4 linked regions of the Drosophila melanogaster genome follow. The protein of the gene in region 4 interacts with the protein of the main gene of each other region in a pairwise test. Each region holds a gene or a part of one and is shown on either strand. Other genes may lie near its edges.

What was found.
Region 1: the proteins of CG13871 (region 4) and CG18766 interact in a two-hybrid assay, tested with the Drosophila melanogaster proteins (one large-scale study listed by BioGRID).
Region 2: the proteins of CG13871 (region 4) and Map60 interact in a two-hybrid assay, tested with the Drosophila melanogaster proteins (one large-scale study listed by BioGRID).
Region 3: the proteins of CG13871 (region 4) and qkr58E-1 interact in a two-hybrid assay, tested with the Drosophila melanogaster proteins (one large-scale study listed by BioGRID).

Annotation. Positions count from the first base shown.
Region 1 is NT_033777.3:27,241,788-27,247,049, reverse strand, and holds CG18766 (uncharacterized protein), read left to right. Parts: upstream 1-1,800; 5' UTR 1,801-1,860; exon of another isoform or gene 1,861-2,033; intron 2,034-2,231; exon of another isoform or gene 2,232-2,404; intron 2,405-3,105; 5' UTR 3,106-3,221; coding exon 3,222-3,227; intron 3,228-3,286; coding exon 3,287-3,603; intron 3,604-3,674; coding exon 3,675-3,797; intron 3,798-3,859; coding exon 3,860-4,340; 3' UTR 4,341-4,715; downstream 4,716-5,262. Other genes in the region: CG5984 (uncharacterized protein), read left to right, coding at 1-190; CG17991 (uncharacterized protein), read right to left, coding at 4,834-5,262.
Region 2 is NT_033778.4:9,588,910-9,593,262, reverse strand, and holds Map60 (Microtubule-associated protein 60), read right to left. Parts: upstream 2,397-4,353; 5' UTR 2,235-2,396; coding exon 1,963-2,234; intron 1,899-1,962; coding exon 848-1,898; 3' UTR 519-847; downstream 1-518. Other genes in the region: CG1827 (uncharacterized protein), read right to left, coding at 2,879-3,947, 4,001-4,113; clos (closca), read left to right, coding at 1-273, 337-516.
Region 3 is NT_033778.4:22,412,384-22,417,444, reverse strand, and holds qkr58E-1 (quaking related 58E-1), read left to right. Parts: upstream 1-1,926; 5' UTR 1,927-2,049; coding exon 2,050-2,305; intron 2,306-2,370; coding exon 2,371-2,875; intron 2,876-2,935; coding exon 2,936-3,037; intron 3,038-3,162; coding exon 3,163-3,344; coding exon of another isoform or gene 3,345-3,373; exon of another isoform or gene 3,374-4,104; coding exon 4,105-4,250; 3' UTR 4,251-4,528; downstream 4,529-5,061. Other genes in the region: qkr58E-2 (quaking related 58E-2), read right to left, coding at 1-193, 249-349, 414-1,017, 1,079-1,379.
Region 4 is NT_033778.4:20,315,563-20,319,551, forward strand, and holds CG13871 (uncharacterized protein), read left to right. Parts: upstream 1-1,760; 5' UTR 1,761-1,845; coding exon 1,846-3,408; 3' UTR 3,409-3,477; downstream 3,478-3,989.

The sequences.
Region 1 (5,262 bases), on a different chromosome or scaffold from region 4:
GGGTAGCAACATGCTCCTGGTGGGCGTACTGGGGCAACGCGGTCCCTGCGAGGAGGTGGTGGTCAGGCACCTGGGACGCGGCATACACAGGGTCACCTACCGCGTGTGCGATCCCGGTGACTACATCCTGGTGGTCAAGTGGGGGGAGCAGCATGTACCCGGATCCCCGTTCAGCTTAAGTGCGGATTAGCCGTAGAAAGTAAATGTGCCTGCATAAATCAGCTGACCTTGATGGGGCGCTACTGCCACCCATCTGCCTCACTTCTCAATGGAATCCTGCGCAGCTTCTCCGGGCGATTTCGCCCCACCTAATGATGATTGCCGATGATAGCGTTATGGGTGCTCCTTGCTGCTCTTTTCCCGCCACTAATGACGTTCGCATTTGGGAGCTGATGCTCTCGGCGCCTCACAACCTAATGATGATGACCGGCGAATATGGAGAATGTGGGTAAGCTGAGTATGAGGGGGCAAATATGTAGTAGTAATGCGTACACTTGAGGTTAGTGCAATAGTCACAAGTTTGGAAAATAGTGAAATATACTTAAGTAAAAGTAATAATACATTTTAAACACTAGCATGCATTTACCATTAAAAATATATTTTAGCTAATGATTCATTAAAATAAATTCACTAAAATAACAGTTATATAAGAGAGGTGCCATCTTAAAATTATATTAAAAATGTTGCACAATAAATTAAGATAAGTATTGTACTATACATATAATAGTTTAATATGATTTGATTTTAAGGGTAACTATTAAGCTGACCATTATTGTTTATAGAAATGATAAAAGGTGGGGGCTGCACGATGATGTTGTAGCTATTAAAATGTCAAGTTCTTGAAGATGATGACATATTCATTTTGTATTCCTAAACAATCTGTACTTAGTAACAAAAGAAAAAGATACATATTTGCAATATAGAAATTTGTAAACACTGAAGAACATAATTGTTTATAATAATATATTTAGGGAGAATGAAAATAGATTGATATTCAACTAAAACCTATTTGAAAGTAAAAATATGTGTCAATAACTAGAAATTTACGTAATATATTTTTCAAAATACAAATAAACAACATTAGTTTGTATGTCTATTATTAATTATCTCAAAGTTTACTATTTATATAGTTGGCTAGGTTCGTAGATTTTTGAATATTTGGTGACCTTGTTATTGGGATTTCGCTTCCCCCAATTTCTTCTTCCTCTGCCTTGCCCCACCCCCATCGCCTATCGCCCCGCCCCGCCAGCACTTTTTCATCGAGACGATGTGCAATTTAATGATGATTACCCCACAAGCAAAGCCAACTGACGACGACTTTGTGGCAGCAGCGACATTATCATTTTTTGTTATTTAGCCCGCTAATGACGTTTGCTTTTGTTGTTGTTGTTGTTGCTCCATCGCACAACCTAATGATGATGATGATGACCGGCACATACGTGTCGGTGTGACTGTGCCAGTGTGTGTGTGCATTATGCTCCAAGAAAAGCGATTTGTTGAAGGGAGGCGGGAGTAGGTGGTGGTGATGATGATGATGAGCGATGAAATGCGCTTGCTTTGTTGCGCCCTAACGAGCCGAGATTGAAGTAAAAGTACTGTATTGAGCACGATAAATGGCAGATGACTTGGTTCTATTGGCCTAAAGCCGCAATAAACATTTTCAATTTCCCACCTTTTGGCGCTGTTCGAAACCCCAACGCACTGCACTGGCGACTGTCTGGCAACGCCATGTCACACTAGCCGCACCGCTCACACCATGTTGCTCTTGCCATGCCATGCTGTCTCGCTCACGCCGAGAACATCATTATAGAGTCGAATTGCGAGAGCTGCGCAGCGTAGGAGCTACAAACTACGTTTTTCGTGTGTTTCCCTCTTGAAGATAATTAAAATTTAATTATTTGACTTATTATTAAGTTTTGTGCCCACGCTGTTGGCGTCGTAGTGTTGTTGTTTCGCCCGTTGTTGCATGGAGCAAAGCGAAAAACGTAACAATAGAACGCAATCAACGCAAGAAAATCGGATGTGGATGCGATGTGAGTGTGTGTATCTCTGAAATGGGAAAAGTGTGTGCGTGTGTGTATTCGAGAAAAGTAACCTCTCACCCCCCGCGAACTTACATATATGTACATTGGCTCCAATGCTGCTATCCCGCAGCCGCCGTCGCCGTCGACGTCGGCGGAGCATCTTCATCCGCATCTGAGCCCAACTCCCTTCTACACTTGAGTTACCGCTTCACTTCGATTCCAAACGTCGCCGCATCCACTTCTCATCTTCTGCTGCTGCCGCAGCTGCTGCATGCATATCGCAACTTGTTTCGCTCGCACAATTAATATTTGTTTACCGTTTACCGTTCGATTTGCATTGCATGCGTGTGTGTTTGTGCGGGAGCGGCTGAGCTGCGTCGGTGTGTGTGAGCCGGCTTAATGATAATTGAAAGCTAGAAAATAGACAAAGTACACCGACTAGTAAATACCCTTTAGTGCCAGAAAATGGGTTGTTAGCCAATGGGATTACGGTACAAACAACACGGAAGCGACAATAACCCATTTTAAAATCATTGGATGCCAAATTTAAAACAGTTCCTATAACATTTTGTTTCCTGTGATAAGAATTGTTAAAAATACTTGCGTTTTAAAAGTTTAAGCTGAAATTAATTAGTGAATATAAATAGAACTTCAAATTGTGCATAATTATATCGTATAGTAATTAATACCCATGACAACTAGGGAATGAGTCCTTCTAGGAGCTTAAAAATACATAAATATTTCTATGAATCCAAACTCTGCTGCAATATAATAGAATTTTATGTGTATTACAACATTATACCCTTTAATTGCCGCGAGAACTAAGTTAACTATGAAATGCAATCATTCGTAACCCTTTTTGTGGGAAGGTATTAGGCTACAAAAGATTAATTACCATTTCAATTCAATTAAATAGTCATCAAATAGGTGGCTGACCATATGTTCGGTTGTTTATTTACGTGTGGTGTGCACTTTTTAAGAAATCCCTGAAACTCATAGGGATTGCAATATTAATACGTCTAACAATACAAATAGTAAACAACGACACCTGCACGTTAACTAATCATTTGATTTATTTCAGGAGCGAATCCGTGTACAGTATGCCAGCCCACTAGATAAACCGCTTCATGTCCTCCATCAGCTGGCAGACGAAGATTGTCGGGCAATCCCATTTGTCGGCAGTAAGACCCATGTGAAATGCCTGTAAGTTGTCTTTGGAATCAGTAGCTTTATCATCAATATAATCGTATACCTATTCGCAGTATGAAAAATTCAACAAAAAGCGCCGACAATGGGAGGATAGTGGTGTTCTAGAGCTGATCAAACTATGGAAAGTCTGCGCCTATGAGCTGCGCACCATTAAACGCAATGGCCATCTGTATGTGGCAATGGCCAAGCAGCTAACCTCGCTGGGCGTCCCTGTTACCGCACTCGAGGTTCACTTTAAAGTCAACAATCTAACGCAGCGCTACCGGCAGGAGCAGAAGACCTTTGAGACCACAGGCATCATCAGCACCTGGAAGTTCTACAGTCAAGTGGATGATGTGTTTAAGAGTCTGGCCGCACACACCGGTTACAAGTTGGTTGAGATATGATAGATACTTCCCATATAGCAATCCCAAACTAACAAAATATCTTATTATTTTCCAGAGACAAACGCATGACAAGTGCGTCCAATACGAGCAGCTTACCATCCACATCCGAGTCACCAGTTTGGAAGAATCCAATGTCTCAGCAAGAGTTTAATAGTAACAACACGGAGGGGTTCTATAAGTAAGCACTAGCATTGGAACACCTTCCTCACAACATGTTTAAATAACAATTGGGATTTGCAGGACCGAGTACGGGATGCATCGGCACTTTATGGACCACTCCCAGCCACCACCCAATGCCGGCAGCGTGGACAACTTCATGGCCTCATCGGCGGCCGTGGCGGCGGTGGCTGCCGCTGCCTCAGCCCGCCTGGCGGATAACAACATGGATCAGCAAATGAACACGGCTGCCGGTGGAAGCGGTGGCAGTGGTGGTGGTGGGGGCAACACCAATGGAGGCGTGGCCAACTACCAGAAGATCAAGAAGTCGCACGAGGACTACGACAAGTTCGTGGACATTGTGAAGAACATCGTGGACACGCACAAGAGCACTCCCGATAAGGTGGACACGTTCGGCGACTTCATCAAATCGTACATGAAGCGCTGGCCGGAGCGGCTGCAGGACGAGGCCATCAACCACATCACCAACTATGTGATCGTGAAGAACATGGAGCACAGCATGGTCAGCAGCCACAATCCCGAGGGGGTGAACAACCGACAATAACAATACAAGCAGGAGCCCAACAACTGAACGAGTTGTTGGACGACGCAGCTCCAGGAACCAGGCACAGAAGCCGAACGAAGTGAGACGTTAGGCGAGGATTACTTAAGGTGGCGCGCAGTTACTTAACCGCATCTGAGTTGCGGCCAAGTTCATTGGACACACACACGGCATACAGTATTTTTTGTATAGTTAAAATATACATTGGAGTTTTAGTTCTCGACGATCGCGCCCTCGATACAGAGTTGACTTCCGTAAAGAGGGGGCTGGATCGATCAATCGTGCATAGAGATCCTAGGGAGTACATTACATTTAGACACCATTTCCTACTGTTAGCTGTAAACTATTATGCATAAATTAATAAATGCTTTAACGATTATTTATGATTGGTAGTAAGAATGCACTATTGACACGTAGTCTTAGGAAAATTGTACACTTTACAATTTAAATAGATATTCAAATTACTTCTTGCTTCTCTTGCAGATCTTGAGTTTACCTAGTGTCCGTCTGCCTCCGCTAGGTTTTCCTTCGTGTAATCCAAAACACGACGCTTCATACGACAGATGTATTGGCTATGCATGAGGTACATTTTGAGGAATCCCTTGATCGCTATGAAAGTCAATCCCCCAAGAAGAGTTTGTTGCAATCTATCGTCGACAGAGCTGTAAAGAACTCTACCCACGTACATGGATATGGTGGGCAAGAGGATGGCTCCACAGACCACCCGCGATGCTGAATATTCGGTCATTGGCGCAGAAGGGTATGGTTCGGTCTGGTGGTCATATTTCCGTCCTAGGCACATCATTGAAAGACTTCGCAGCAATGAATAACATATTCTAATGAAGCGCAACAGGGCATCTTCCCAGGGAATTAAGCGTCCAAGTATCAGAACTACCGAGATTAATGGGAATCCGACCAGAACAAC
Region 2 (4,353 bases), about 11 Mb from region 4:
TGAGCAATAATGTGAAGAATCTCTGGGTGGATTTCGTCAACGATCTGCCCGTTAACGAGTTACTGGTCAGCAAGGCAGAAAACCGTCCCAATCTTCACGTGGAAAGCCAACTGATCTTCACCCAGCCCCTCACTGTGGGTCACTACGAAGCGGGCAACGGAAATGGGCTGCTGGATAAATATTACAAGAAAAAGCGGGGTGTCGAATCGAATGACATTCATGATTGGCAGCAGCTGCAGGAAAATGTGGCAGCTATTAAAAACAGATTGGCCAGTATGTTAAAAACACATTAATACAAATTCTCCTTTAGTCATGTGCATTAAATTCAACCAACAGAGCCGCCTAAAGTGCTGGAAGGCTTTGCTGTGCTGCAGAAATTACCTCATAAGGCCTCGCACATGAAGATCATCTCCGTGGACAACGAGGACGTACTGGCCATCTGGGAGCAGATGCCCAGCGAAGTAGGGACTACTTACACATGGCAACCGGATATACATCTTTTTGGGCGAAGTTCAAGTAAGTTATGTAGATTTATTTGCATATAAACGTATTTTAAAATCAAGTAGCATATTCAACCTTAAATAGGGACAAATTCGAAATCTCAAATATTAGAAATACATTTTAAATTTAGCTTTAAAATTCATGCGTAAATGCTATGAACACTCATACCAGAACTGTGAGTAAATACATTTTACAAGTGGGCGGCACAGAACGCAGACGTTTGAACACGGAAAAAATAATACGATAAATACGAGAAATGGTTCAGACAGGCCTACTACATAACTACCTTTTTAGTTTGTCTAATAAGTAAGCTGAGTAATCATTTAAATTGCGAGTATCAGTCGGTCTACTGCTCCAGTTCGTCGCTCTGCACATCGAGGATGGCGCGCAAGATGGACAGCTCCAGCTTGGCGGAGGCACGCGAAGAGAGTCTGTTCATCACATTGGCCACGTACAGCCCGAGAGACTCGTGTCGCGACGAGTTGCATAGATTCTTGAAAAAGGTTGGCGGCAGCGAGTTGTCAAAGTTGCCCAGGTTGATAATCTCGGGTGTATTGGAGGAGGCGGCGTTGATCTTCGGCCCGAAGATAATGTCATTCTTAAAGTCCAGCTCGTCGATGTGTGGCGAAAAGCCGTTTGTGGAAGCCACCGAGGTGGAAGCAATGGTGGCGGCTGTCGATGAGTTCGCTCCCCCACCACCACCGTTTATCTGTTGTGCCGATGGAATGGTGATGATGTTGATACCCGGCGGTGGTGTCTGGTTGTCCTCACGCTCCTTCTTAACCTGCATCAGCTGGGCAGTGGTTGTGTGCACCACATTGTTTCCCGCCGGCAGTTGATCTGGAACGCTGGTGTGCACTGAAGTTGCGGCTGCCGATGAAGCGGCTTGTTTCGGGCTCGTGGTCTTGGTCTGCTTTTTTTGCGCCGATGACGAGGTGTACTCCTCCGAAAGTTTGCGCTTCAAAGAATCTGGCAGCTGAATGGTGGTGCGCGAGGAGCTTGATCTTTGCCCACTGGCTGGCGCCTGTTGCCCAATAGCCGGTTTCGGTGCTGCTGCGGAGCTGGGCGTCTTCTTCACAGTAATTCCCTTCTTTTGCAGTACTGCTGCGGCGGCGGACAGCGAGCTACTTCGCGGTGTGTTGTTAGCCAGTGTGTTGAGCAGCTTTTTCTCCTCGATGGCTGGGCGAGGAGTGTCGACGTTGGGTTTGGCGTACGCCAACCGCTCGTCCTTTTCTGGCGAACCGGTGCTGTGTGACTTTGTGGGGCTTTCGCCGTCGGAGGACGCCGAGCCGGTAGAGTTGGTGTGCTGTCCGTACTGATGGGCGTCATCCTCGTCCTCAGGCTCCTGCACCTCCAGCATTTCGTACTCCTCCACCTCCTCCATGGGTACTTGATCACTGCAGAATAGCAGTAGAAATTTTGTTAGTGTTTCACGGTTAGAGGACTATTTACGCCACTTACTTCTCCTCCTTGATTGAGATTTTAGGCTCCTGATGGATCTGATGCATCAGACTGAAGAGCTTCCACGCCGAATTGCCCTTTAGCTTTTCCTGCTCGTACTTCTTTTGGAGCACTATGAAGATGGAGCGCGATTCGTGCACAGAGAGCTTGTTGAGACGCCCGATCCTGGCCCACGCCTCCTCCTGCTCCTGCTTGCTGGCGCCGCCATTGTTTGGATGCAGCACCTTTTCTTTGGCGATGTCCTGCAGAATCTTGTCCAGTTGGATTGCCATCTTAGTCAGCGACTTGCGGCCCGCTGGTTGCGCGTTCCTGATAATTTTGGAGGCTGTTTTGATAACACGCGACACACGAATTGGTATATGTAACTAGGATCCGCTTGTTTTTCTCTCCGCTTTCGCACCGTTCGCTTCTCTTTTCTTCTGTATTTGGCGTCGGTAAATTGGCGGAAAATGTGACCGTGCAACACGCAAATACTAGAAATGCCGCCTTTTGGTACAGTAACTTAGGGATGAGGGAGATTTTGGCAACATAGATGTTCACAGTTCACAGCTCTCGATGCAGTGAAAATTAAATTTTTATATATTATATTTATCACTATAAATATTAATACTTGCATTATTTTTACTTATATAACAATTATAATGTTTCTCCATAAGGAAAAGTTATTCATTTTGGTAGTCATAACTATCGAAGGAATGGTTTTTGTTTTGTCTTTTTCTATTCTATTCTCATACTTTATTTATTTATTTTATGTAAGGATCCTTACATATCGATAATTCTTAATACCGCTAATTTACGGTAAAACTACCCGTCTATCTTGCTGCCGATAGGGACAAACAAATAACGCAATTTATATTGCAGATGAGAACTCCACGAAATTTAAATTTTATTGAAATACGTTACAGTTTTCGCCACCTCACAACGCCACGATATTTACTTTGTCCTGACCACCTATGCATTTGACCGTTTCCAAGCGCGTAGGCCCATCCGCTCCGGCTGGACTGCTAACCATAAAGGGGAATTCGGCCAGGCCGTAGCAGGCAGCGCCATAATTACCCAGCCGATCTACGGCGATGAGAGCACCCATGAAATCCTTGTGGTGCTTGAGAATGCGGCGAAGGCCCTCTTGAGCTGCCTCAGCCGGAGGTTTTCCCGCCCGCATGGTCTCCACCGCTAGCAGGGAGGGCAGGAAGCGCATCATCACATCTCCATCTCCGGTTGCCACGGCTGCACCCACCTCGTTGTCTGCATAAGCGCCAGCACCCGGAATGGGGGAGTCGCCGACCCGTCCGGGAATCTTGTGCCGCGCCCCGTTGGTGGAGGTGCCGGCGTGGATGTTGCTTTCCACGTCGATGGCGATCATGCCGATGGTATCGTGGTTCTTGCGTCCGATCTCATACTCATTGCGGGCACGGTCCTCCTTCCAGCGGGTCAGCGGAGTCGGCCGCGGCTTATACGGGCCGCAAGAGACCTTGGGATCCGGGTGAACGTTCTTCCAGAAGTTTGGCTGGCAGTTCTCAGCCGTCCACTGTAACCACATGTCCTTCGACTCCGGCGTGACCAGCGACTCTGATTCGAATCCCATAGCATTGGCGAAAGCTGACGCCGCATCACCCACCAGCATGGTGTGCTGCGTGTGTTCCAGAACATGCCGGGCTACCTTAATGGCATCCTTAATGCGTCGCAGACCAGCCACTGCCCCCACATCCATGGTGGCCCCGTCCATGACCATGGCATCCAGTGTGGTTTCGCCCAACTCGTCCGGCGATCCGCCATAGCCCACCGTTCGGTCACACTGGAGTTTCTCACACTTCGAGCAGCCCTCCACTACCGCATTCCGCGTCTGCCGGAGTCCACCCTTGCTTTGCTTCAGGATTCGCCAGGCGAGCACATTGGCAGCCGTGAAGTTCCAAGTGTTAATGACCATGGGCAGCAGCTCACCCGTCGTCTTATTCGCCTTCACGGCAGTGGTGCCAGCTTTTCCACTGCAAAGGGGCGGATCTTAGCGAACAAAGAATACGCTGTATGCGCTGCTCACCTAAACGCCGAAGTCAGCGTTGGTTTGGGCGAAGTATTTACTGCCGCAAGGATGGAAAACGCCATGGTGGCCAAACAAAGGATCCAAAGACTTGCCCGCAAGTGCCTTCTCATGGTTAATCGTAATGGTCTCTACGAGAAGTCTTGGTGTATCACAATCTGTCCCTGTTCTGCCGGAAAATGGTCGAGTTCTGCTTTTAAATGCTAGCAGTCTAACCTCACTGTTTTGCTTTCTTATCTGTTGTTTTGATATACCCTCTAAAAGAGTCGTACACATTTTCAAATTGGTTTAAGCAATATTTTAAAACTTGAAAATGTTTCAACATAGATTAAGATATAGGCAAAAAACCACCT
Region 3 (5,061 bases), 2.1 Mb from region 4:
GGCACAGCGCCACCGATGCCACCGCCAGTGGTGGCCACGATGCTATTGGCCATGATTCCGCCACCGCCGGCATTACCCAGTCCGGCATTTCGGCCATTGAAGCTGGCCGCACTGACGACCATTCCGGGCGGTGAGGCTCGCACAATTGCTTGCGGTGGCAAGGTGGTGTGCATGGCATTGCCCCGTTGGGCGGCTGCAAAAGCGAACATAGAATCTATGGTCTATGGACCAGGAGAGCCCAGACTTACCTGGCACATAGGGTTTTGGCTGGTGGTACGCATTGTTGTGTGAGCGAAAATAGACAGTCTCCTCGTTGTGGCGATAGTGTGATTGTTGCTGAAACTTTTGTCTGTAAGAAACATGGGAGTTTAGCTAGACTCGAGGCTCGTAGAGGACATTGAACTGCAACCCACCTGTAGTTGCCGCCGGAGCGCTGGTTCCCATTGCCATTATTGCTGCCGGATCCAGCTGCGCCGCCATTTCCGTTTCCGCCTCCACCACCGCCTCCTCCTCCTGCACCACTAGCTGCCGCATTCGACTGCTGTTGCAGCTGGCGAAGCGTCAGCTTCTTGGCCGCCTCCGGATCCTCCATGAGTTCGCGGTACTGCTCTTGGCGGATGTCATCGTGCTTGTCCGGCGTGAGGTACCGCCGAATCTCGGCCAGGGCATACGCCACCCGAGCGTACGCCTCGGCGGGCGGAGCAATGGTGGACACCTCGACGTGCAGAGGAAGATTCAGGTGGGCGTACTTCGCGTCCGCGGAGTTGCGCAGCTCCTCCTCACGTGCGCGATCCTTCATTGAGAAGCGACCAAGTATGACGATCTTGCACTGCGTCTCCTCCTGCAGGCGACGCAGTGAGTTGCCCTTGGGCCCCAGTAGCTTGCCCACATAGTTGAACTTCTTGTCCTTGATGGGCACGTGCACTTTTTGGGACAGCTTGATGGTGCGCTGCTGGTAGACATCGGCGTACTGGTCTCTCGTGGGAATGCGTCCGTTTAGCTGCACACGCTCCAGAGCTGCAAAAACAGAGGGAAATCAAAGTAATTACCATGAAGTGCCCCTGACAAATCAATTTACCTTCGTCAATTAGCTTCACCGCCAGGGGGAAGTGGTTTTCCATGCGCGATCGCTCCGTCATGAGCTCCTGCATGTACTTCTGGACCGCCGGCGCCGGCTGGGCCTTCTCGCCGTCTGCGTTGGCGTTGTGTTCGTTCTCATGCTCCCCGTTGCTCGTCCCGCCGCTGACGCCGGTGGGCACCACTCCTGTCCCGGCCCCCGCAGTTCCCGCTGCTGATCCACCGCCGACTCCCGTCGCAGTGGAAGCCACCGCAGAGGCCACCGCGGATGACCCTGGCACGCGCAGTCCGTTCTCCGCCATTTGTCGTCCTGCCTTCGGGATCGCTGTCGCTCTATCGTCCTGCTAAGTCGCCGAGTCTCGGATTTTCCGTGCGCAGATTGCGGGCGATCGCTTTTGCTGTCGATTCGGTATGATTGCTAACTTAGCACACTTCAGCCTTCCCAATGGCCCTAATTTTTCTCTCTTTTTCCAAGTGTGTATTTTATTCGGACATTTACTATGTCAGCGGCTCGGTCCGGCAACTCCGGTCTCTCGGGCTGTCTCTCGTGCTTCTGCAGCGTGCTGTTCGCTGCCAATCGACGGTGCTGTTAAGGGCGCATAGTTGTTATCGGCTTGCAGACACTATCTAACGCTATATATTAACATAGATGCGTCGTCAGGTGCATGGCAATAATTTATAATATGCACTTAGTGATTTTTAAATTACAAATATAATTTAAATGCTCTCTTTGTTATGGGAAAGTTTTTAATAAAATTGATAAGTCATAAACTACTAATGCACATGATGGCGGGTTGTTATCGGCAGTAACCGATAATACGCTATCGAATCGGTGATGCCGATTTACCTATCGATGTCCTACCACATACATATTTTTTCAGCCAACTAATTCTGCAATAGTAGAATTTTGTATTCAAGAGTAGGAGTTTTAAAATTCACGAATCCTCCAGGCCAGAAATCCTACAAAACGCAATGCCGCGCGACTACGACAGAGACTACAACGAGGACGCCGCCGACTACAAGCGGAAGCGACGCGACGAGGAGCCAGCGGCTACCGGTGCTCCAGAGACCCCTGAGGCGGATGGCGGCGGACACACCACCAGCCACGCCGCCCTGCGGGACACGCCCCAGCTGAATGAGAAGACCAACGCGTATCTGCAGGAGTGCCTGCTGGAAAAGAAGACGCTCGAGAAGAAGCACATCATCACCAAGCGCTTACTTGACGACGGTGAGTTAGGCGCTGCGACATGTAAGCTATAGTGGATCTAATTGCAATTTTTCATGGCCCCGCAGAGGTGGAGAAGATCTTGGTCAGCGGACGCATACCAAAGCCCGAGATATATGCCAACGTGTACAGCGAAAAGCCCATCCGCGTGGCCCAGAAAGTCTTGTTCCCCATCAAGGAGTACCCCAAGTTCAATTTCGTTGGCAAGATCCTGGGGCCCAAGGGCAACACACTGCGGCAGCTGCAGGAAGAGACTATGTGCAAAATGGTGGTTATGGGGCGCAACTCGATGCGCGACCACGGTAAGGAGGAGGAGCTTCGCAGCTCCGGAAATCCAAAGTACGCCCATCTCAGCCGCGATTTGCACGTGGAGATATCCACGGTGGCCCCTCCAGCGGAGGCCTATCACAGGATCAGCTATGCGCTAGGCGAGATCCGCAAGTTTATGATACCCGACGCCAACGACGACATTCGGTTGGAGCAACTACGCGAGATGGATGGCAAGGAGCGCATGTACAAGAAGTCTCACCACTATTCCAAATCCTATGGCGATCATGGCGCCTACAGTTCCCGGTAGGCTTGTCAATTTTCGTTGAATTTTAATTGGTTACTAAGGAATTCCTTTCGTCACAGCACCCCGCCCCCTGCTTCTTCAAAGCCCAAAGTCTATTCGATTCTGGAGAAGGCTCGATATGTGATGGACGATCCCAACTATGGGATCGTAAAGACGCACAGGTTAGCTAAGTTCAATCGCGTTAATGATGCCTTTAGAAGTTAAATTCTTATGCTTTCAATAGCGTGCATCTGTGTTATCAACCATTGTTAGAAAACCCTCCTTTAATCCCTTACTTTTTCAACAGATCACGGGACCACGAGCTATATGACCACCATGGAGAATATGATCGCTATGCCACACCGCCGCCCCAAACATCAAAGCACTCGACCCACCACGCCCAGTATGACAGTAGCTCCTACGAGCGCGACTATCGGCGTGAGTATCACCCCCACTCGTCCTCCTCTTCCTACGCGGCGGCCTATCCAGGTAAGATACCTAGATTTCTAGACCAATAATCTCTTCCCCTCAGCAGGCATGTAAAAATAAACAAAATGAAGAAAAGAAAAAGAATACGACAAATAGCAATGTAAACGTTTAAACTTAACTCGCGCAAATCAAAACAAAAAAAAAACTCGAAAACAAAACAAAATCTATCCAACTAAGCGCCGATAAATTGAAAACGCAGAAAAAAACAGAAACCAAAAAAGAAAAAGAAACAAGGCCGCGTACCAAAATTATTAAAACGGCAACCCATCCCATTTTAACAAGATTTTAAATGCACTATGCCTGAACAGAGGCCAAATCAACTAAACCGAACAGCAACCAGTAAATCATCTTCATTAATTGGACGACTACTAACATACTCACAAGAAGCCAGAGCCAAAATATTAAAACAATCGATCAAACAATCAAATTACTGAAATTCACACTTTGAAAACAAAACCATAAAACTTCATGGCAAGAAACCCAAAAATATTTGAACATGCTTAAACTATAAAATCCAAGCTGAAAGGTTTGTGGAACAACTTTTTTTGAAACGTGATGAAACGAAATGCATTTTACTCAAAACAATAACGTTTCGTAGGGTGTAGTGCATTCAAAACCGGTTAAACAATATATTTTTCTTTTTTTTACAATGTATATATGCTAAGCAAAAGAAAAACCAAAAACCAAAAAACAGCACCACAGAGACAGAACAAGAAACAATTTAAAGTCTAAACAACAAATAAAATTCTTTTCAAAATAGCAAAACCAAGCAACGGTCGTTCATCATCGTCATATCGACCAACCACCTCGGGCTCGGGATCACATTCATCTGCTCACTACGAAACTGGATCCCGATCTCGTGAAAGCGTGCGATATCGCTCGGCTCCATATCCGAAAATACGTTAACCCATCGATTTTCCAAAACCCCAAGAAACCAACCTCAACAACAACTACAACAACAACAACAACCACAACTAAACAATGTTAAGCGTAAAGATTAAAATATATTCCAACGAAATATCAAAATGTTTGAAGTCAACAATCCAACTATTCACACCTATTAAATATAATATATAAACGAAAATCAAATAAAAAACGTAAATTTTTATTGCAACTGTTGTCCGATATTCAAATTGTGTTTAAAATTAAAACAAGAAACCAATAATGCAACAAATTTTATCCTCAAAAAGATTGTAAAAACAAAAGACATACTTCAATCAACCTAATACTAGTTAAAGCCAATACGAGAAGAGAACTAAACACAAGCGAAAACCCCCCCAAAACAATTAATTTATCAAAGCATAATTTTAGACTAAGCTTGAAAATATTGTTTCATAAGATAATGGAGATAAAACCAACATAAAAAGCAAAATATAAACTACAAATGTATGTGCCCAACGACAAAGTAAGTATCGCCTGCGGACAGAGTATGATTAACAAACAACAAACCACACTATTCAGCAGTTAAATAAATTAACCAAATGCCGGCTTCGTTACAAATTCCGAATAGCAAAGAGTATTGTGAAACGTTAAACGTTGTCGTTTATAATTATGATTTCTTTTTTGTTTTTTTTTCTTTGCGAATCAACAATTGTTTTATAACTTAAATATTATTTTTAACATAAAACCATAAGGACGTTTAGAACTGAATTTGTTTGCCGCTGAATATCCCTAAATAAAGTATAAAAGTATAATCGACAAATCCAGTTTCATTTGT
Region 4 (3,989 bases):
TGGTGAAATGTGAGCGGTGTGCTGATGAAACTAGTTCAATGTCGCTGGCCCACTATGACGTCACCGTTGGCAGACATCGCTCATCCGCCACGTCGGCCCAGTCGGCCCAGTCGTCCCAGCCGGCCGGCCTTTGGAATGGGCGTAATATATGGGATCCGCTCGAGATTCGGTGTTCCTCACTCCCACTATCAACCAGCAACATCCATGACCCGATATGCCTTCCAGAAACTTCCCTGCGCCACGTGTCGCGTGTCTGGCGTGCGTGTTTGTAAACAACTGCACTGCCATGTCCTTTTTACTATCAAAACAACAGGACACCAGGGCGCAGGCGCTGGAAGGCTATGCACATTCCACACGGAACAGAGGCTGGAAGTCCTGGAAGGAGGAACGAGAACACAGAGCCCAACACTCCAGGGCGTTCAAATGTGTATACTCGATGTCCTGACTTAAATATTACTTATGATAACAAGTTAAGATAAATAAATATAAAGTTAATATATAGCTTTGTCTAAAGAAACTACCTTGACAAAATGACTGCAATAAATGTTTATATTAAATTCATAAACATTAATTCTAGAAAAGAGCACTAGGCTTTGTGTACTTTTTTTTTCCAAATATTTGTGTTTTCTTCTTCTTTTTTTACAAAAGAAATCATTCATTTATTGAAATATTACTAGTTGTTAACTGGGCCTTATATTCCGGGACGCCACTGTCGCGTTGGGGATGCCCTGCTCTTGCGCACTTTTATTGACAATTTCTTTGTTGTCTGCTCCCCGTTGGTGTTGCTTTTTGGCTCAAATTGCCTGGTTACCGCAGTCATTTGGCCAAGTGGCAAAATCAATAGAGGGAGTTGGAGATGCCAGGAAACAGAAGCCAGGAGCCCATTACCTTATTATAATTGGGAGTATTATCAATCGCAGGACGGCACACACATGAAATGAAACGCCGCCTGCCGCAGGAAATGCGTGGAAGCCAGGAGCCTCTTACTGCTTTTTACTCCAGTTGTAGGAACCGTTGTAGAAAAATAAAATCAATATTATCATTTTGGCGTGCATATTGAGGACAGTCATTGCACTTGGTTTCGCAACACTTGGTTTCCGCTTGTATTTAAGGCATTAACTAAGGATTTCGGACCCCGTTTAGCGTTTAGTTTTTGTGCCTTTTGCGTTTGAGTGTCATTTAACGATGAGTTCGCAAACTCTTGAAAACACGCCTATGACACAAAACTTTCAGGGAGATATGGGAAATCTCTGTTTTTCGCTTAACTTCACAATTTATTATAATTTAGTTTGTATTTAATATGTCCATTTATTTCGAGGATGTGCTGCACAGTTGGACGTGAAAAACTCGACTGTGGCTTACGAACTGAATGAGCACAGCATTTCCACTTTCCAGTCCGATTTCCAGTAACCTTCCAACCACTGATTCCCGTTATGCTTTGTTGCTTGAACAAGCCTTCTCCGTGTCCTTAGAAGTTCGACCTGACGTCGTCCTTTGTTGAGCAAGAAAAATATGACTGCCTTCTTTCAACAAAATATTAAAAAGATTATTTACTACCATTTAAACTCTACTTGACCACTTGAGTTCTTTGGGCAAATAATCTACCAATTCACTTTTAATGTATACTTTTTTTTTTAGAATTCTTCGCTTTAATTATAGAAGATTTTTAAAAAATTATTTAAACATAAAAACAACCAATGAGCATAACATGTCATGGAACTGATTTCGAATATAAGGAATTTTACAAACATGACTCGGCGATAATTCCAGCAAGATGTTGTGCTTATGAGAACAATGTCAACGCGGATTTTGAGCCACAGCGCAGTCCGACTTTCATTACTGGCAATGGCAATCCTGGCGAGCGTTGGACAAGCGACCGACCGATCCGAAGGAAGATCAGTACGCAGGTACTCATATGCGGATACCTCGTGGCCCAGGCGGCCGTTCGGCAGCGAGCGAAGGGACTTGGCGCCTTCGGAGCAGCGATACTTCTCCGATCCGGAACTGCTCTTCCAGCGGCTGGACGACATGGAGCAGAAATTGGGAATTCCAGAAAAAATGGCTGCTGCTGGCAAGGTGAAATCGGAACACTATCTGGTTGGTCCCACGAATGTTGCCGCCCAGATGCTCAAAGATAACTTGTACAAATTTCCGATTGATGACGGCGCCATTGGACAGGGAATGCACGATGATTGTCTGGGTAAGGAGGATGTGGATGATCCCTTCGAGTCCCTGGCCAGGATGAACTTCAATGAGCATTTGAATGAGCGTAAGTCCGATCGTGAGCTCAAGAGGGTGCTGGGTGGCTACTTAAACGACCAGCAGCTGGATGGAAAACCAGCTGTGGCAACAGCCAATTTGCTGGCCAAGGTCATTAGCTCCAAGGTCGATCAGCCCAGGAAGTCTGGGCCTTGTCGTGGCACCACGGCTCGATCCCACGGGTTCACCACAAGAAGCCCTACGACTCATCGGACGACCCTTAGTACCACAACGCGCAGTCCCACCACTTTCTGCCTTCCGGAACCCTCATCCGATCCTCCGCTCAAGCCGCTTCCCACATCTCCACCAACACCTCGTCCTCCGCCTTCCGCACCTTCGCGTCCACCAACGACGCGAAAGCCATCTGCTCAAAGGATTAAGCCCAGTAATAAGTGCCCCATATCGACGAAATCTCAAAAGCTAGGAGGTGCCAAGGTGCTGCTGGAAATCATTTTGGCCACCAAGCAGCATGCCCTATCGGTGCTCAAGAATCTCAACTACCTGGAATTGGAACTGCTAAGTCACTCAACGGACGACGATGTATCGGAGAACCACGTTAAAGAGAAAGAACCAACAACAAAGACGTCTGAACGTATCGAAAAACCCGAGCCAAGGCCACCATCCAGGGTATTTTCCTTTGGAATTCGACCAGCGAGCCAAAAAGAGAGCTTGTACGACTTGGCAGTGGCCAAGGAGGAGGAGTTGAAACTGCAGGATCGGGTGTGGGAGGAGCACCAGCAGCAGATGAAGCTAAGGAGGCCAATGAAGCCAAAGAGGTTTGAGGTTGCTCCGGCGGCTGCTGCACGCCTGGAACCTTTTCAGGAGCCTCGAAAGCCACTGAAGTCCATAAATTCCATGGAGCCTTTTACTCCTTTGGAACCAGAAACCTCCGACGACAACAGACGTATCAATCTGGAAGCCTTGAGCGTGGTAGTCAAGCCAATGTCCTCCTTTCCCAGAAAGGATTCTCTTAGCTCGTCGCCGCGAGCACAAATGAATGCTGTTCAATTGGAGGGCACAAGCGATGATGAACTGCATCCAGGCAATACATTTGAATTGAGACCAAGAAAGAAGAAAAAACACAAGTTGTACGCTATGGAAAAGCAGACACAGACTAAAAAGCTACCCATTGCAGGAGTTTTTTATTAAGTCATTTGTATAAATATTAACAGAGTTTTATTGAAACATTTATTCAACACTTAAATATATTTTAAAAATAAGAAGTTTGAATTTTGGCGCCAATACGTTAACCCTAAGACAGTGCTTGCTTATAGCTTTTCGTATTTATATGCCACTTGACGTATTTTTTGACATCCAGCCCACGGTCTCACTAGAAGGCGCCGAAAATTTTAGAAACGTCAAGCGAGAATGAACTCCCGTATTGTTGTGTTAAAAGGAACTTCGTTCGGGATCATCGGAATATTCATTTCTCAGGAAAACCCCAATAGTCTCATTTATGCAGTTTGCAGTGCATATCTTGCTGAGACTCGATTTTTATTAATTGTTTAATAGTTTGGTAAGGACAGAAAACTCACAATATCGCATTACGACACATTCTTTGTATTTGCACAAACGAAATCAAATTCTAAAATATAGATCAAAATAATTTAATTCTGCGTCTGCGCCGCCGCTTTCGTCCATCTCTTTCTCGTCTCTATTCTCTTTATTTTTTGCCCCTTGTCCGTCTTATTTTTCTAGCCCTGTGTTTGCCAATTTTATTGTGCACACTG